Linked DNA regions of Diceros bicornis minor. The main gene of each other region encodes a partner of the protein of the gene in region 2 in a complex. Links are inferred from orthologs where the notes say so. Each region holds a gene or a part of one and is shown on either strand. Other genes may lie near its edges.

Evidence for each region.
Region 1: the proteins of ARPC1B (region 2) and ARPC5L are in contact, whole or in part, in a cryo-EM structure (PDB 6YW6), measured with the Homo sapiens proteins. The link is inferred for Diceros bicornis minor from reciprocal best matches to the Homo sapiens genes ARPC1B and ARPC5L. Residues at the interface, in NP_005711.1 of Homo sapiens: Arg118, Lys138, Arg142, Phe164, Ser201, Gly203, Trp204, His222, Asp223, Ser224, Thr225, Leu240, Ala241, Ser242, Glu243, Thr244, Leu245, Pro246, Phe281; in NP_112240.1 of Homo sapiens: Asn21, Lys22, Arg102, Gly139, Leu140, Gly141, Ile144, Arg145, Thr148, Arg150, Lys151.

What each region holds. Positions count from the first base shown.
Region 1 is NC_080767.1:33,364,074-33,371,835, forward strand, and holds the start of ARPC5L (actin-related protein 2/3 complex subunit 5-like protein), read left to right. Parts: upstream 1-4,712; 5' UTR 4,713-4,786; coding exon 4,787-4,941; intron 4,942-7,762. Other genes in the region: RPL35 (large ribosomal subunit protein uL29), read right to left, coding at 225-361, 771-773. UniProt on the Homo sapiens protein: May function as component of the Arp2/3 complex which is involved in regulation of actin polymerization and together with an activating nucleation-promoting factor (NPF) mediates the formation of branched actin networks.
Region 2 is NC_080765.1:7,312,756-7,320,051, reverse strand, and holds the start of ARPC1B (actin-related protein 2/3 complex subunit 1B), read left to right. Parts: upstream 1-4,259; 5' UTR 4,260-4,354; intron 4,355-7,296. UniProt on the Homo sapiens protein: Component of the Arp2/3 complex, a multiprotein complex that mediates actin polymerization upon stimulation by nucleation-promoting factor (NPF).

The DNA of each region.
Region 1 (7,762 bases), on a different chromosome or scaffold from region 2:
TGAGGAAAACACTGAGCGCTGCAGGAGGAGGGAGAGGAGGTCCCGCTGGGCTTCCGAGGGCAGCATTACGCCGGCTCTCCAGGGCCTGACATTCCGGCCCACGGATCCCCTGAACGGCACTTAAACGGACTCCTCCTGAAGCCACCTTGGACAATCCACAAGTGCTCCCGATGCACCCGTGTCCCCCACGTCCAAAGGGCCGTGGGCCGGCCGCGGTCACTTACATCTTGGAGAGCTTGGACGCCGCGCCGCCAGTCACTTTGGCGACGCGCAGCTGCGACAGCTCCACCTTCAGGTCGTCCAGCTGCTTCAGCAGCTCTTCCTTCTTCTTGCCGCGAAGGTCTCGAGCCTTAATCTTGGCCTGCGCGCAGGAAAGGGACCGGGTCAGACACCTCGCGGGCCGCCCTCCGCTGCGCCCGCGTCGTGGCCAGGCCAGCGGGGCGCGCGCCTCGCCCTGGGCCACGAGCGCGCTGGGGGCCCAGCATCCCCGCTAAGCCGTGCCTTGAGTAGGGCCACCGAGGCCCCGGTATCCCCGCTCGCCCAGGCCTACCACGAGGCTGGGCCGCCACCCCATTCCGCAGAGGGGAAGACGGAGGCACCGGGAGCGCGCACCCCTCCTGGCCCAGGCCGGCTGTGGCGGCGCCAGGCCATTCCGCAAAGCGCCCCACAGGCCCGGCCAGCAGATGGGACCCTAGGGCTCACCCCGCGCCCCCGACCCCAGCCCCTGAGCCCGACAGCGCGCGGATGGCGTCCGATTCCCCAGCTCTCACCATGGCTACACAAGCCGCCGCCGCCGCCGCCGCCGCCGCCTGCTCCGAGGGAAAGAGGAAGGGGGCGGGGCCGACCTCCGCAACTACTGCCGGGTGGCGGCGGGCGCAGCCAATGGCGCCGCGGCGGGGGAGCTCCGGCTCCGCCCTTGCCACGCCCCCACCCCCGCCGCCGGCAGCACCGTGGTACCGCCCGTCTGGCCCCGCCGCGAGGATACCGAGCCCGTCCGTAGCGCCCGCCTCTTCCTCCTGCACCTGAGATGACTTAGATCGGCCTCACGCCCTGAGCAGCGCACTTGGGGAAACCGAGCCCCGGGGTGAACGGCAGCTTTCCGGAGATGGCACAGTGAGGACTCGGATTCGTCCATTCAGTCATTTATTCGTTCATCCATTCATTCGTTCATTCCGTAAACCTTTGCAGGTCGCCCAGTCCGTGCTGCTCTGAGCTGGGCGCCGGTGTTCTGGGGAATCAAGGGGATGAAAGTTTTCAAAGATGAATTAACACGGCCCCTGCCTTGGAGCAATTTAAAGTCCGAGGTGGGCGGGGAGGGGCGGGGTCAGACAGCTATAATCCAACTCTTTAAACGTTCTGGTGGAGGCGGCAAGTGGCAGCGAAGGAGCATTCTTGGCCTTTTTTTAGTGAACCCGACCGGGTTTCAAAGTCTTGCTCTGTTGCCGGGTACAACTGAGACTCGGCAAAACCCCTCCTCTCTCGAGTCTCAGTTTTCTCACCTGTGAGATGGGGTATTGATGAGGATTACGGAGATAACATGTAAAACTCTTAGCACAAGACCTGAGGCATAACAATGCTCAAAATATCATCAGTTACAATGTTCCCACTGGAATGAACGCTTGAGTTGTGCCCTGAGAGTTAAAGGCAAATTCATGAAGCAGGGAAGGTGCTCAGGCTTTCTGACTGGGCGGTTTCATTGTTGCCCCAACGGGCAAGCATGAATCCATGCTCTAGTGTCACTCCATTAGCAAAGACATGCCAACACCTTTTAGAGCTCTAGTTAAAGCCAGGTTGTCCCCTTGTTGGTGTCGGGTGTCACCTCCTCCAGGGAGCCTTCTCCCATCCCCAACATATGGGATTCTGTTAATGGACCTTAGTCTTGGACTAAATTGAGAAACGACCTCCCTTTGTGTCCCAAGCTTTCTGTGCAACCCTCTCTTTAGCCCCAAACATACTGAATTAAAATGATGTTTATGTGTCTGTTTCCATAGCCAGCCTAGAAGTTCCCTGGGGGCAGAACTATGGCTGACATCTGATTTGGTTTTTCCTTTTTTTTTTTTTTTTGTGAGGAAGATCAGCCCTGAGCTAACATTCATGCCAATCCTCCCCTTTTTGCTGAGGAAGACTGGCCCTGGGCTAACATCCATGCCCATCTTCCTCCACTTTATATGGGACGGCACCACAGCATGGCCTGACAAGCAGTGCATCAGTGCGCGCCTGGGATCCGAACCCGGGCTGCCAGCAGCAAAGCGCCGGCACCCAACCTCTATGCCACAGGGCCGGCCCTGATTTGGTTTTTCTAGTCTCTAGGCCCAGCACATGGAGGCTTCTTGGATGAATGAATTAATGAGCGTTGCCCCAGACACAGTGAGGCAGGCTTCCAGGAAGTGGAGGGATATGGGAAAGAGAGGGCAGACAGAGGGTATTGACATGGATTATTAGTCTTAAATGGAACTTGAATGGTGCACAGGGACTCTGCTGTCCTATCTTCCAAATGCTTATAATTCTATTAGAGCTAATGATCGTGTAAGTCTTTTCTGAACTTGAAGTCATCTGTGACTCCCGTTTCTCTTACAGGCCACATTCAATCCACCAGCACATTTGGCAGCCTCTACCTTCACAATATACCCGACCTCTTCCCACCACTCTTTGTTGTTTTTTATTGTATTTTATTTTTTGGTGAGGAAGATTGTCTCTGAGCTAACACCTGTGGCAGTCTTCCTCTATTTTTTGTATGTGGGATGGCGCGACAGCATGGCTTCACGAGCACTGTGTAGGTCCACGCCCAGGATTTGAACCCCGGGCTGCCGAAGTGGAGCGTGAAACTTAACCAGTATGCCACTGGGCCGGCCCCTTCCCACCACTCTTATTGGCACCTGCCTGGCCTGAGCTAACAGGCCTGACACCATTGTGTCACCTCTTAAATCACCTATTTTGGCTCTGGTTCGCATACGTGTTCTCAGCACAGCTGCTAGCAGGACCCTTTTCAAACTTAAGTCAGATCATGTCACTGCTCTGCCCATAATTTCCAGGGCTGTCCCATTTGAGTTAAGACCACATCCTTTCCTCAGCCTACCAAGCCCTACAGCATTCCCTCCAGCCCCCACTTCTATCTCAACTCTTCTCTCTCTTCTGCACCAGTAAGGCCTTGCTTTTTCTGGAATACACCAAGCCTGCCCTGCTTCTGGGCCTTTGCTTGGCTCCCTCCTTCACTTCCTTCAGGTCCCTGATCAATGTCACCTCCTCAGGGACACCTCTCTTGACCACTTTAGCTAAGGTACACCCAGGCTCTGCATGGTTTTTTTCCCTCAGCATGCAGTCATCCTTGTCATAGTATAGTTTGGATTTTTAGAATTCTGCCTCTGACTGGAATGGAAGTCCATGGTGATAAGCAGGGACATTATTTCATTCACCAGTTTATTTGGGGGCTATTTCTTTATTTGTAAAATGGGCTTTGCTGGTTTAAAGTTCCTTCTGGCCAGGATGTTCTCGGGATATGAATTTCTGCTGTCTTGTGGCCTGCCTGGGTCACAAAGATTTCTTCCAAGGTATGGAGCTGAAAGACAGGTGGGCCTTGTCTATTTTCAGGACCCCCTGAGACTTTAATTCAGCACCTATTTCCCCCTGTAGGAGTCTGTATCTTTAGCACCCAAGATTAGGTAGCATCATAGTCTGGCAATATTTTTGACCTGTAGACAGTTCAATGAGAAGTATTCGAAGCAATAAGAATGAATCACATTTCATTAACTACCGGCCTTTATTAAAAAGAGTACTATTATATGAAAACAAAGACTCAATTTAGTCGAAGGCTAAGGACCATTAACAGAACCCCTCAAGCAACAGCCCAGGCACCTAATGGTGGCAGTAGAGTCGCCTTTGACTCTGCCCTACCTCCCCCCACCTCCATCTTGCCCCATCTCAGACTCAGGGGATTCGGCTTCCTACCAGGATATGCCTCTCCAGCCTGGCCCGACGTCAGCCCCAAGGACCTCGTCCTTCCTGCCAGGATGGTGGCCAGAGTCATCTCCCTCTTCCCGCCGCCCACCCGCCCGGCCAAGGTGTCTGCTACACGCCGCACCCTCAAGTCCAAATGTCTTCATAGTCTTGTCAGCACCCTGGATACCCTTTAAACGTCTATAAAGTCTCCCAGTCCGTTAACAACAGGGTCTCTGTGTACAAGGCAGAGGCTGCCTCCTCGGAGCTCAGTGTAGTGGCGTTCAAGGCTCCCAAGATCCAGACCAGGCTCCCCCACCCCCGTCACTCCTCGGGGACTAAGAACTACTACTCATCCCTCAGGCCTCAGCTCGAAGGTTTCTTCTCCAAGAAGCCTGCCCGGCACTCGACACGTAGGGCCGGCCGCCTTCTCCTGGGCCCCCGGCCCCTCAGGCTGGGCAGTGAGGCCCCCGGAGTCCGCGGCCGTGCCCGCGCCGGCCCTTCCAGGGGCTCCTTGGACGCAGGAAGGAAACCGAAGAACGAGCGCAGTTACGGCGCCTACGATGCTGGCTGGGGCCCTCTCCTCGGATGGGAAGAGGGGAGTGCAGCAGGCTACTTCTCCAGCCCCTCCAGTCGCTCCGGAGGCGCCCCCACAGGCCCCGCCCCTCCGTCCCACCGGCACTTCCGGTTCCGGCGTGGGCCGGAAGTGGGCGGGCACGGCGGCTGCGCGCGGAGGAGGAGGAGGCGGTGCCGGCGGCCGCTTCCCGCCCCCGAGCCGGAGCCGGTGCTGAGCAGAGCCGAGCCGAGGTCCGGCCCGGAGCGGAGCCGGCTGAGCGGGCGCCGAGCCCCCGCCATGGCCCGGAACACGCTGTCCTCGCGCTTCCGTCGGGTGGACATCGACGAGTTCGACGAGAACAAATTCGTGGACGAGCACGAGGAGGCGGCGGCGGCGGCGGCGGCGGCCGAGCCAGGCCCGGACCCGAGCGAGGTGGACGGGCTCCTGCGGCAATATCCTTCCCCGGCGCGGCGGCCTGGGCTCCCCTGTGGCCCGGCCTTCCCACTTCCCTCCTTCCCGGCTCCGGTCCCGTGGGCCGGCCTCCCCACTCCTCTTACCCCGGCCCGCTCAGCTCGGTCTCCCAGCTCCCTTCCCATCGGGCTCCCCTCTGGCCAGCTCCCCTCAGTCCGGGTGTCCCCTCTTCCCCCTGACCCGGCCTCCCCCTACCTCGTCCCTGGCCCCGGCCCCCAGAGCCTCCCTCAGCAGCGCAGCCCCATGCGGCCCCTAGACCCTGGTGACCGGCCCGCTCGGCGGCCCCGGGAGCGTGCCGGACGGCCTCGGCCCCGCACTCCTCCAGGCCTCTTCTCTGTTCTCTTTCTTGCTTCTTCATCCTCTCAGGCTGTCCCTTCTTTGGGGGCCCCGTCACTCCATCCCTCGCTTGCAGGAAATGGGGGCATTCTCGGGCTTGATCGGCGGGAGGGGCCGAGGTGAGCCACCGCTGAGTAATTGAGCGGCCGGGGCGGCTCCAGGGCAGCCCTCTCGCGCTGGATTGCAGCACCACACGAAGATGGGTGGGTGGATGGGGAAAGGACCCAAGGGGGAGCGCAACCTGCAGCGTTAGTCCAGCCCTGAGGTCTGAGCCTGTGCTCCTCCCACCCCAGAATCAAACTGACCCTCCAGCTTGATGCCACTCTTTGTCGCCCATTCTTGGGCTTTGGACCTTCATGGTCTCATCCACGTTCAACAAGTGAGTTTTGGCTCCCTTCCCCCTGCTACCTTTCTTGTGCAGGAAGCAGTGGAAAAAACTAGTAGTTTAGAGCTAAGAAAAACCAGAGTCAAGTAAAATGTAAAAGTAGAGCCCCACGCCTGCAAATGACCTTTCTTGTGGCCACAGAAAACAGCGTTTAGAAAACAAGATTAAAAATAGAGGTGGTTGTCACAGCCTGCTTGGTCCCTTAGCAGTTTGAGCACAGGAAACTGACTTATTCTCACAGGAAGGATTTTTCTTGATTCAAATGGTGTTACAGGAAGCGCCCACCCCTCCCCCGCGCTCACCAGGGCAGGGTTGGAGGCTCCTGCTGTATATAAAGCAGGTTCTGGGTGTTTAATCAGTTGACTCAGCTTGGGAAGGCAGGCCCAGAGACTGGCTTTGGGAGGAGTCCTGCAGTGTTCTTCCAATTTACCTTTAAAACAAAAACCTTCTGACTTTCTTTCTTTGAACAGGAATGTGTTGTCAAAGGTGGGGATTCAAACTTGTATTTCCTACCCCATCAGGATCACCTTGCTTACCCCACTGGCGAAATGGGGTCATGAGAAGGGCCCCCACGAGAGAAGGTTGGTTTTGCAGTCTGGTGCAGGACCTGGCTCGTGGGCAGGCAGTGCCAAATGGGCTCCAAGTTCAGGCCTGTGGCCCAGAACCATCCGCAGATGGGGAGAACAAGGTCTGGTTACCTGCTGGCTTGGTCCTGGTGCTGTAGGGACTTGAAGGTCATCTCTTGGTACGCCCCTGACTAGTGATAGTCAGGTTCCTTGAGGCTGCTTAGCACATCCAGTAGATGGTAGTTTCTCCACTAATGGCAGTGTCAGAAACCTTGTTACCATGGAGAGTGTACCTCCTGGGATTGGGGAAAGGGAGGTTAGCACGTGAGAACTGAAATTCTGGCAAATGTGGGGCCTGGGGAGGAAGAACTAATACTTACTGAGTCCCTACCACGTGGTATTGGACTCACATTAGATCGTTGAATTTAAACTATGGAACAGACTTCTAGGAGTCTCAGGACAGAGGCAAGGGAAGTAGGGATAGGGGGTGGTTGATTGGAGTAGGGGAAGGTAGGGAGGAGGTCTGTCCTAGTGCTGTATAGGGAAGCAAGTCCTGGTGGGAGATCACACAGAAGCAATAGAAAGAACATGGGCCATGCATCCACACAGACCCAACTCTATCAGGCTCTAGCTGTGTGACCTTGAGTAGGTCACATACCCTCTCTGAACCTTAGCATCCTCCTCTGTTAAAAGGAGGAGAACCATGCTGGACTTCGAGGTTCCATGGGAGCATCGCTGGGCAAAATCCCAGAAGGCTTCTGCACAGTGCTGGGCACACAGCAAGTGCCTGGACGTGCAGCTTGCGTCTGTGGGTGGAGCGGCAGCAGGGCTTGTAGGAGGAGCTTGGTTTTTGGAGTCAGGCATATTTGGGTTGAAGGCCAGCTGGACAGCTTAGCTTTGTGACCTTGGGCAGGTCATTTCCCTTCTCTGGGCCTCAAATTCATTGCCTTTAAAATGAGAATAATGATTCTTGTCGCAGAGTTGTTAGCAGTAATGAAGTAACACATCAGAGCACCTGGCACAGGATCTGAGATCTGGTAGGGATTTTAAAGTATTAGTTCCTTTTCTTTGCTGAAGCACCTTCTGGTGCTCTGGAGCAGCGATCTGTCCAGAGCAGTGGTTTGAGTGATCTTGCGGAACTTGGTGCTACTGGGATCTAATGGGTAGAGGCCAGGGATGCTGCTAAATATTGTATGTTGCACAGGACAGACCCCACATCATTCATCTGGTCTGAAATGTCACTAGTGCCGTGGTTGAGAACCCCTGATTTGGAGGAGACTAGGGGCTGGGCAGGGTTCCCCAGCCTCCACAGCCTGTTCTCTGGAAGGGCCTAAAGCCAGCTGAGTACAGAGGCCAGCTTGATAAATGGTGTGCCCTCCTGCTCCCCAGCTCTCCTGGGCTGCTGAACGCCCTTCCCCATCTGCACCTGCAGTGAATGCTGGGTACCTGGTGCCAGAGAGAGGTCACTAAAGCAGTGACTCCTTTTGCCTCCTGGACCAGTCGTTCTCCCCTTCC
Region 2 (7,296 bases):
ACGAAAGCCAGCCCCAAACCAGGAATTAGCTAAAGGTAAAGGTTTCTTTTTAGTTTCAATAAATCACATGGTTTGGCCAGCAAGCCCAGAGGTTTTTAGAGAAACAATGTATTCCATGAAAGAAACAACAGCAACAAAAAACAAAATTTACTAACTTTCCCTCCAAGGACTTAATAGTCACAGTTGTCTTTTTTCTTGTTTTAACTTGGGCCATTTCTCACTCATGGAAGAGTGCCCATCCCGGTCATGGCACCCAGGAACCCTCAGTGCTGTGCTGCAGTGCTGGGGCCTGTGAGATTGCCGAAGCTCCCTCCTCCTCTCGCCCTACCTTTGAGACTCAGGTAAGGCCTGGGTGCACAGTGACTGCCAATTTGGAGGGGTTCTCAGTGACCCTGACTATGCCACGACACACTGGTCAAAGCCCTTTGATTCGATGCTTTGGTGTCAGATTATAGTTCTGCCAAGTTGTGTGACCTTGAGTGATATAGTTAACATCTCTGTGCCTCAGTCTCCTCACCTGTAAAATGGGCATGATACAGGATTAGTAATTCCTCTTAGATACTCATGAAAGCCGAGGTTTGCTTTCAGGCTTGACACTGGCCGTATAGTAGTCCCCGGAGACCCTTAATAACAGTGGGCTCAGGTGGGAAGAAGTGTATGAAGTATGTTGGTAACCAAAAAAACTTCAGTAGTTCTTTCCAGAATATTATGCTAGAAAACGGGTCAGCCTCAGAACCCAGATTAATTGCTTAGGCAGGACTTTTCAGTTTGGCCCAACAATCACCACACAAGTGGTCTAGTTCCCATGTGTGCCCAACCCTGGAGGTGGTGATGTGAAGGCCCAGGGTGGCCCAGGTAGTCCCCATGTGGACTGGTCAGTACAGATCAGTACGGACATTATAAGGTTATGTTATTTAAGTTATGTGTGTGTGTATAATTCAAATACTAGATGTGGTAGATAGAGTAATGCCCCCCAAAGATGTCCATGTCGTAATCCCCAGAACCTGTGAACTTTGCAGATGTGATTAAGTCAAAGATCTTGAGATGGGGAGTACTCTAGGTTGTCCAGGTGAGCCCAGTATTGTCACAAGGATCCTTGTAAGAGGGAGGTAGGAGAGTGAGGGATGTGACATAACAGGTTGGAGTGTCACAAGGCCCCGGAGCCAAGGAATGCAGGTGTGCTAAAAGCTGGAAAAGGCAAGCAAACAAGTTTCCCCGGAGCTTCCAGAAGGAACACCACCCTGCCCGCTGAGACTGACTGTGGGCTTCTGACCTCCAGAACCGTAAGAGAATAAGCCACCCTGTTTGTAGTAAGTTGCTACCGCAGTGATAGGAAACTAACACACTAGGTCAGTTCAGAAAGGAGGGGAAGTATAGTCTAGAGCAGAGTTTTTCAAATTGAGGGTCAGACCCCGTTAATGGTTGTAAAAGTCAATTTGAAAATGACACAGAAGAGAAAAGAACAGATTTTGCATTGCCTGTAGTAAGTGTTGTTTCAAGATGCTTATGTTTCAGATATATGTGGGGATGTGTACTAGGTCGCAGTAGACATATCACTGTGAGTTGTGATCAAAAGTTTGAAAGCCACTAACGTAAAGTCAGTCACCTGAGGGGGCTCATGAGGAGGGGTGCTTTAGCCCTGCCTTGGATACGTTACCGTGAGAACAGCTAACCGCCAGGCACCCTGGTGAGCAATTGATAGGCCTCAGCTACTCACAACAACTCTATAGTGTTGGAACTTTGCCACATTTTAAAGATGACAAAACTCAAGTCCAGAGAGGGAAGTGACAGCCTCCGTTGGAACCGTGGCAGTCTCTCCAGAGCCCCAGCGCTAACCGCTAAGTCTCCTCCCTACTGGGGGAGGGCAGGGAGTGGAGGTGCGTAGTGACCAAGCCCAGTTCAGTTTGCCCAAGCTTGGGAGCAGAGAGATGTCATTGGAACTGATGGGAGGGGACCCCTCTGACAGTACCCTATGGGGTTTCGTTGTAGACCTGAATTTCTCAGTGAACTGACACATAAAGCCATGTGGCTTGGAACGGGGTGTGCCTCAGAACACTGCCCCCATCAGAAGACTGCCTCCTGGAGCAGGACACAAGTTCCTGGCCTCAGCTATGGTGGACCCCTTCCCGGGCTTTGGCCACCTTACAAATATGTGTGGCCCAGGGAAGGAGGCCCAAGGGTTTCCCCTCTTCCCTCCTGCTCACAGGGATCAGGTGGCAATCCCTTGATCCCAGGGAGAGAGACCCATGGTCCCCGTTCTTGGTGGGAACATGCTGAGACAGAAGAAGATGAAGCTTTCCTCCCTGGTCTCCTGCTGCCTTGGCCAGTGCACCACTTCCTAGGCCAGATGCCTGGAGTTTGGCTGCCATCTTGTGACCAGGAGGCAGTAAGGCAGTGCAGTGAGGAGGAAGGAGCAGAAAGCTGGAAAGAACCTCGTGACCTGGAGACGCGACCAGCCCCCTGACTACTACTGACTGCCCTCCTCCAGGTCAGCCAGCCCTGCAGAGTCTGCCTGGGTGTGTGGCTGCATTTCTTGGAAACCTGAGAAGGCGGAAAGAAGGGGGAGTGTAGCATCTTCATCCCAGGGCACCAGGGGAGGCAGATTCCAGGAAGCAACAAAGCTCTCCAAGTTGTTCTCAGCACTCCAAAAGAAATTCTTCCACCCCCAAGCTCCCCTCACCCAAGGAGTTGTTTCACTTAAGGTTTAAAAACTTTGTCCCCCAAGGGAGCCATTTCAAAGAACATCCCCCATGGCTTCCCGGTCTAAGGTGTGCTTTCCATCCATTGGGTCTTCCCATAATGACCGCAGGCCTGTGAGGGGGGGCGGGCAGCGCTTGTTATGAGTCAGCCTCGCTTTACAGCTGCGGAAACTGAGGCACGCAGGACGAAGGACTTGCCTGAAGTTATACTGCGGGGTTAAGTGGCAGAGCCAGGGTTGGGTACATGTTCTACCACCACCATTCATTCATTCACTCACTCATTCATTCAACAGATGCACACTGAGGGCTTGCTATATGCCACACGCGCTGCTCTAGGCTCAGGGGAAAGCAGAGCAAACAGTAAAAGAGTTTGCTCGCCCTAAGCTTCTGCATCGTCTTTTCATCAATCAACTTGCTTCACTTCAGTTTTCACCGAGAAAAGCGAGTCCCCAGGTGAGCACATTGGTCAGGATGCTTTACTGAGACTAACAGAAAAACTCAACTCGAACCAGCTTCAAAAGTAAAGTAGGTTCCTTAGCACACGTATCCGAAACCTCTGGAGGCAGATTGTGCTCAGGCTGACTGGTCAGAGGTTGACCTGGGCTCTGGTCATTTCTCTGGGATTCTCTCCATCTGCGCTCTAACCTTGTCGTCTGGCTTCCTTTGTGGCTGTTACACTTCCCTGTTCAGATTCACGCACCTCACCCAGAGGGGCTTCTTTCCCCTCCATCATCATCAGAAGTCCTGGCCTCCTAGGGAGAGGGGCCTGATGAATTGAGAGGGTGCAGGGTTTTCACCAGGGTCTCCTCCATCTGCCAGGCCACTTGGCCACATCTCCATTGATGAGGCAGAGGGTAGGGATGGAAAGACACCCGCGGCCACCTGGCCCAAGACCCAAATTCAAGTGGCTGCAAGCAGCCAGGTAACTTAAAGGAGTGAAGGTGACCGCGGTGGAGTAGAGGGCCGAGAAGGCAGCACTGAGAGAACGTGCTGGGCCAGCCAGAATCAGCGGGGCGGCCAGCGTGCATGCCTGGCCGGGCCAGCATCCTGGTTTTGTAGTGAGGATCCAGGGCGGGGCGGGCGGGGCGGGCTGCCTTGGCCACGCCTTACTGCCTGCACCGGGTTTGCACTTTTAGCGCCTGGCGGGTATCAGTTTGCGAACGAAGAGATGGTTCCCGCGCGGCCGGGGTCCGAGGCCTGCAGAGGTTCGCTAAGTTGCTCAGTCGCCAGCGTATGAGCGCAGAGTCCGCCGTCCCCGCGGTCCGGCTCAGACGACACCGCCCTCCCGTCCGGCGCTGTCCACTCTCGGTGGGGGGTGGGGGGTGGACACGCGCCCTGCCAGGCTCCCGGTCCCCGCCCAGCTGCTGCTCAGGCTGTGCACCCCTCTCTGAGCCTCAGTTTCCCCGTCCATAAAGTAGTGCGGAGTGGTCGTGGACGATTTCTGCGCGCCTTGGGTCTGTGCAGCCCGCAAACCCGGAGGGGTGGGCGGGGCCTTGGGTCTCCCGACCGCTGCCCCTGGTCCCCGCCCCGGTCCCCGGGGGCCTGGCTGGGAGGCCCCGCCCCCCGCCCACGAGGAAGTGGCTGCGGCGCCGCGCGGGGCCCAGAGCCGGTTCGGCGCGTCGACTGCCCAGAGTCCGCGGCCGGGGCGCCCCGAGGTGAGGGGGCGCGGGGGGATGCGGGGATGTGAAGGGGCGCGGGAGGGGGCGCCTGGAGCTGGGGGGACGGAGGGGGAGGCGGGGGTGAGGGGGTGCCTGGCGGTGAGAGGGTCGCATGCAGGTGGCGAGTGCGCGGGGGCTGCCAGGAGATATGGGGGTGGGGGCACGGGGCGTCGCCTGGAGGTGCGGGGACCAGTGGGCGCAGGTGGCGGCCGCGCCGAGGGTGGGCGGTGGCCTCCGGGCGAGGGACGCGCAGGGGTCCCGGCGCCCTCGAGGCGGCCCCCACCCCCGGCCCCTCTCCCTGTCCCCTCTCCGGCCCTCACATCCCGACTCTGCCCCGCGGCCGGTGTCCCCCGTTATTTCGGGCCGCGAAAGCCCCACACCCAGTCACTTCCCCACCCTCCAGCCTTCCGGGTTCTCCAGCCGGGAAATGAGCTGGCGCCCCCGCCCTCCCTCCGCGGCCACCGCCTCCCCCCTCCCCTCCCCCCGCCCGCCTCCCGCCCCGGGCCGGGTCCGAGGGGTCCGTGCAGGGAGGGGGCGGCCGGGGGCCCCGGGACGGGCGCTTCTGAGCTCCCGGGCGCTGGCCCCGAGCGGCCCCTCCCTCGCCTGCGGCGCAGGAGAGCAGCCGGCCTGTCCAGGGCTGGGGCGGGGACAGTCGTACACCCACCACCGGCGGGAGCCCCGGGAGCGAGCCTGGTGCGGTGCGGGACGCCGGGCTGGAGGCTGTCCCCGGGCTCCTCCCGCCTGGCGGGCGGTGCTCCCTCGTGGTTAAGAACACCCATCGCCCTTCAGGTCTCAGGGCCCTAGGTAAGAGCGCCAGCTTCTTCCTCCACCAGCTGATGACCTTAGCAAGCCACCTAACCTCTCTGGGCCTCAACTTTCCTTATCTGGAAAATGGGGACCTTTCAAGTTGTGAGGCTTAAATGTGGTAATGTAAGACACTTGGCAGTGTGCCAGGCACACACTGTGAGTGTGTGCTATTAGTGTTGTCGCTGTCATTGTAAGGCCTGCCCTCATTTAACAAAGTGCCCAGGTGAACCTAAACTCCCGTATTTCGGGTCAGAATCCAAGCTGTGCCATTTAGGAGCTGTGTGACTTTGAGCAAATCTTGGCTTTTGTCTGAGTCTCACTTTCCGTCTGTACAAATGAAGGTTGAAAAAAACACAAAGCAAAAAACTTCCTAGGTTTGCTTTAGCAGGGAAAAGAGAGAATGTCCAAGTCCTGGGTAAATCCTAGGCATTTAAAATGCCAGTAGGGTTAGTTCATTACATATGGATTTGTATATAATCCACATAGGTCTTTTCTAATAGTTAAATAGTATCCCAGCATGTTAATGTCACTAGTTACTTTTTCCATATTTGTTGTCATCTGGATTTTTCCACCCTGTCACCACTATAAACAGTTATTATGAACATGTTTGTTTTTTAAAAAAAAAAAAGTGGCTCTTAGCACCGAAATGAATTTATGCAACCAAAGAGTGTTAACAGTTTTTAAGTTCCTGTTCGTGTTATTCTGTTCTGCTTGTTCCTACCCAGTTGTTGAATTGAGAGTTATCACATTGCTCTTCAGAAAGGCTGCACAAATTAGCAACAAATGAGAATTTCTCCACAGCCCTGCCAGCATTGAGTTTTATGTTTTTGGGTGTTGTTTTGTTTGGATTACTTTCACTGGTGCTTTATGGTGCCTTGGGATTGTTTTCATTTATGTCTCTTGACTTGACTTTGCCTGTTTTGTAAGCCTTTAAGAGCAGAGTTGGGGAGGAGGATTGGCTGGTCTGTTTGGGGTGGCAAGGGCTGCTCTGCACACAACAGGAAGTTGAGTAACTGCTTAGCACGCGTGCAGACTGGCTTGCTGGCTCAGCCTCTGAGCTGGGTGGGGACTTCCCTGAGTGTCTGTAGAGCCAGAGATCCTTGCTCCAGGCTGCTCCTGCCTGGTTTAGCCTCAAATTCAGCCAAGCCTCTGCGTTCAGAGAACACTGGCAGAGCTTCTTTCAAAGCAAGAACAAACCTACAGCCAGTGCCCTGTCCAACTCCAGCCTTTTCTGGATGGAGATGTGAGGGAAGTGGTGGCCAAGGGCGCCCGGCCAGTATGGAGAGAGCCAGAACTTGAACCCGGCACTGTAAGAAGGAGCACTGAGGTCTGAGGCCCTTGGCGGGGCAGCCCAAGGCCTCGCCTGGCTTGCTTTGCTGAGGAGGGGAGCTGTATTCTCCTCGAATCCTCAGAGAGGACCCTCTAGATTGCAGGTTTTCTAATCATTGACCCTATCAGGGAAAAAAATTGGTGCACATACTCCCCGGGAGATATTTACAAATTGCATACATGCGTCACTGAAGCAATCCTGCGTATTCCTAAGACAGACCCAGCAAAAAGGATGTGATTCATTCGTTCAGCATCATTCCAGAACTATTACTTGATTGCCTACTGTGTGCCAGGCCCTCTGATTGGTGCTGGGGATGCTTCAGTGAACAAAACAAACACCCTTGCCCCCATGGAGCTGACATCCACATCCCAGTGCATGGTCTATGGCACTCCCAGATGGAAACCCAAACCCCCTCCCAGCCATCATGCTGCCCTTCTCTGTCCCCTTGCACCCCAGCCCCAAGCGGTCCTGGTCCATTCATTCCAAGCACCCACTGTGTGCCTGACGCCAGGGAAGTGCTCCTGGGAGCACAGAGAGATCCTGGCTCCAGGCTGGTGGGGGGTGGCTTGGAGCCAGCAGGGGAGTCTGTCGGGATTTGGCCCCTCCCCTCCCCCAGTCTCACTCTGTTTCCGGGTTATGGGGGCACAGAGCATGATCCTAACATGATCCCCAGGGCCCCCTCCTCTCTGTCCTCAGCAGTCAAATGGGCCCATGGTGCTGGCTCACAGGACCGTGGTGACAAGTGGGTGGGTGTCCCGGAGGCCTTGTCCTGCCCCTCTCTCCACCCAGAGCCAGGGCTGAG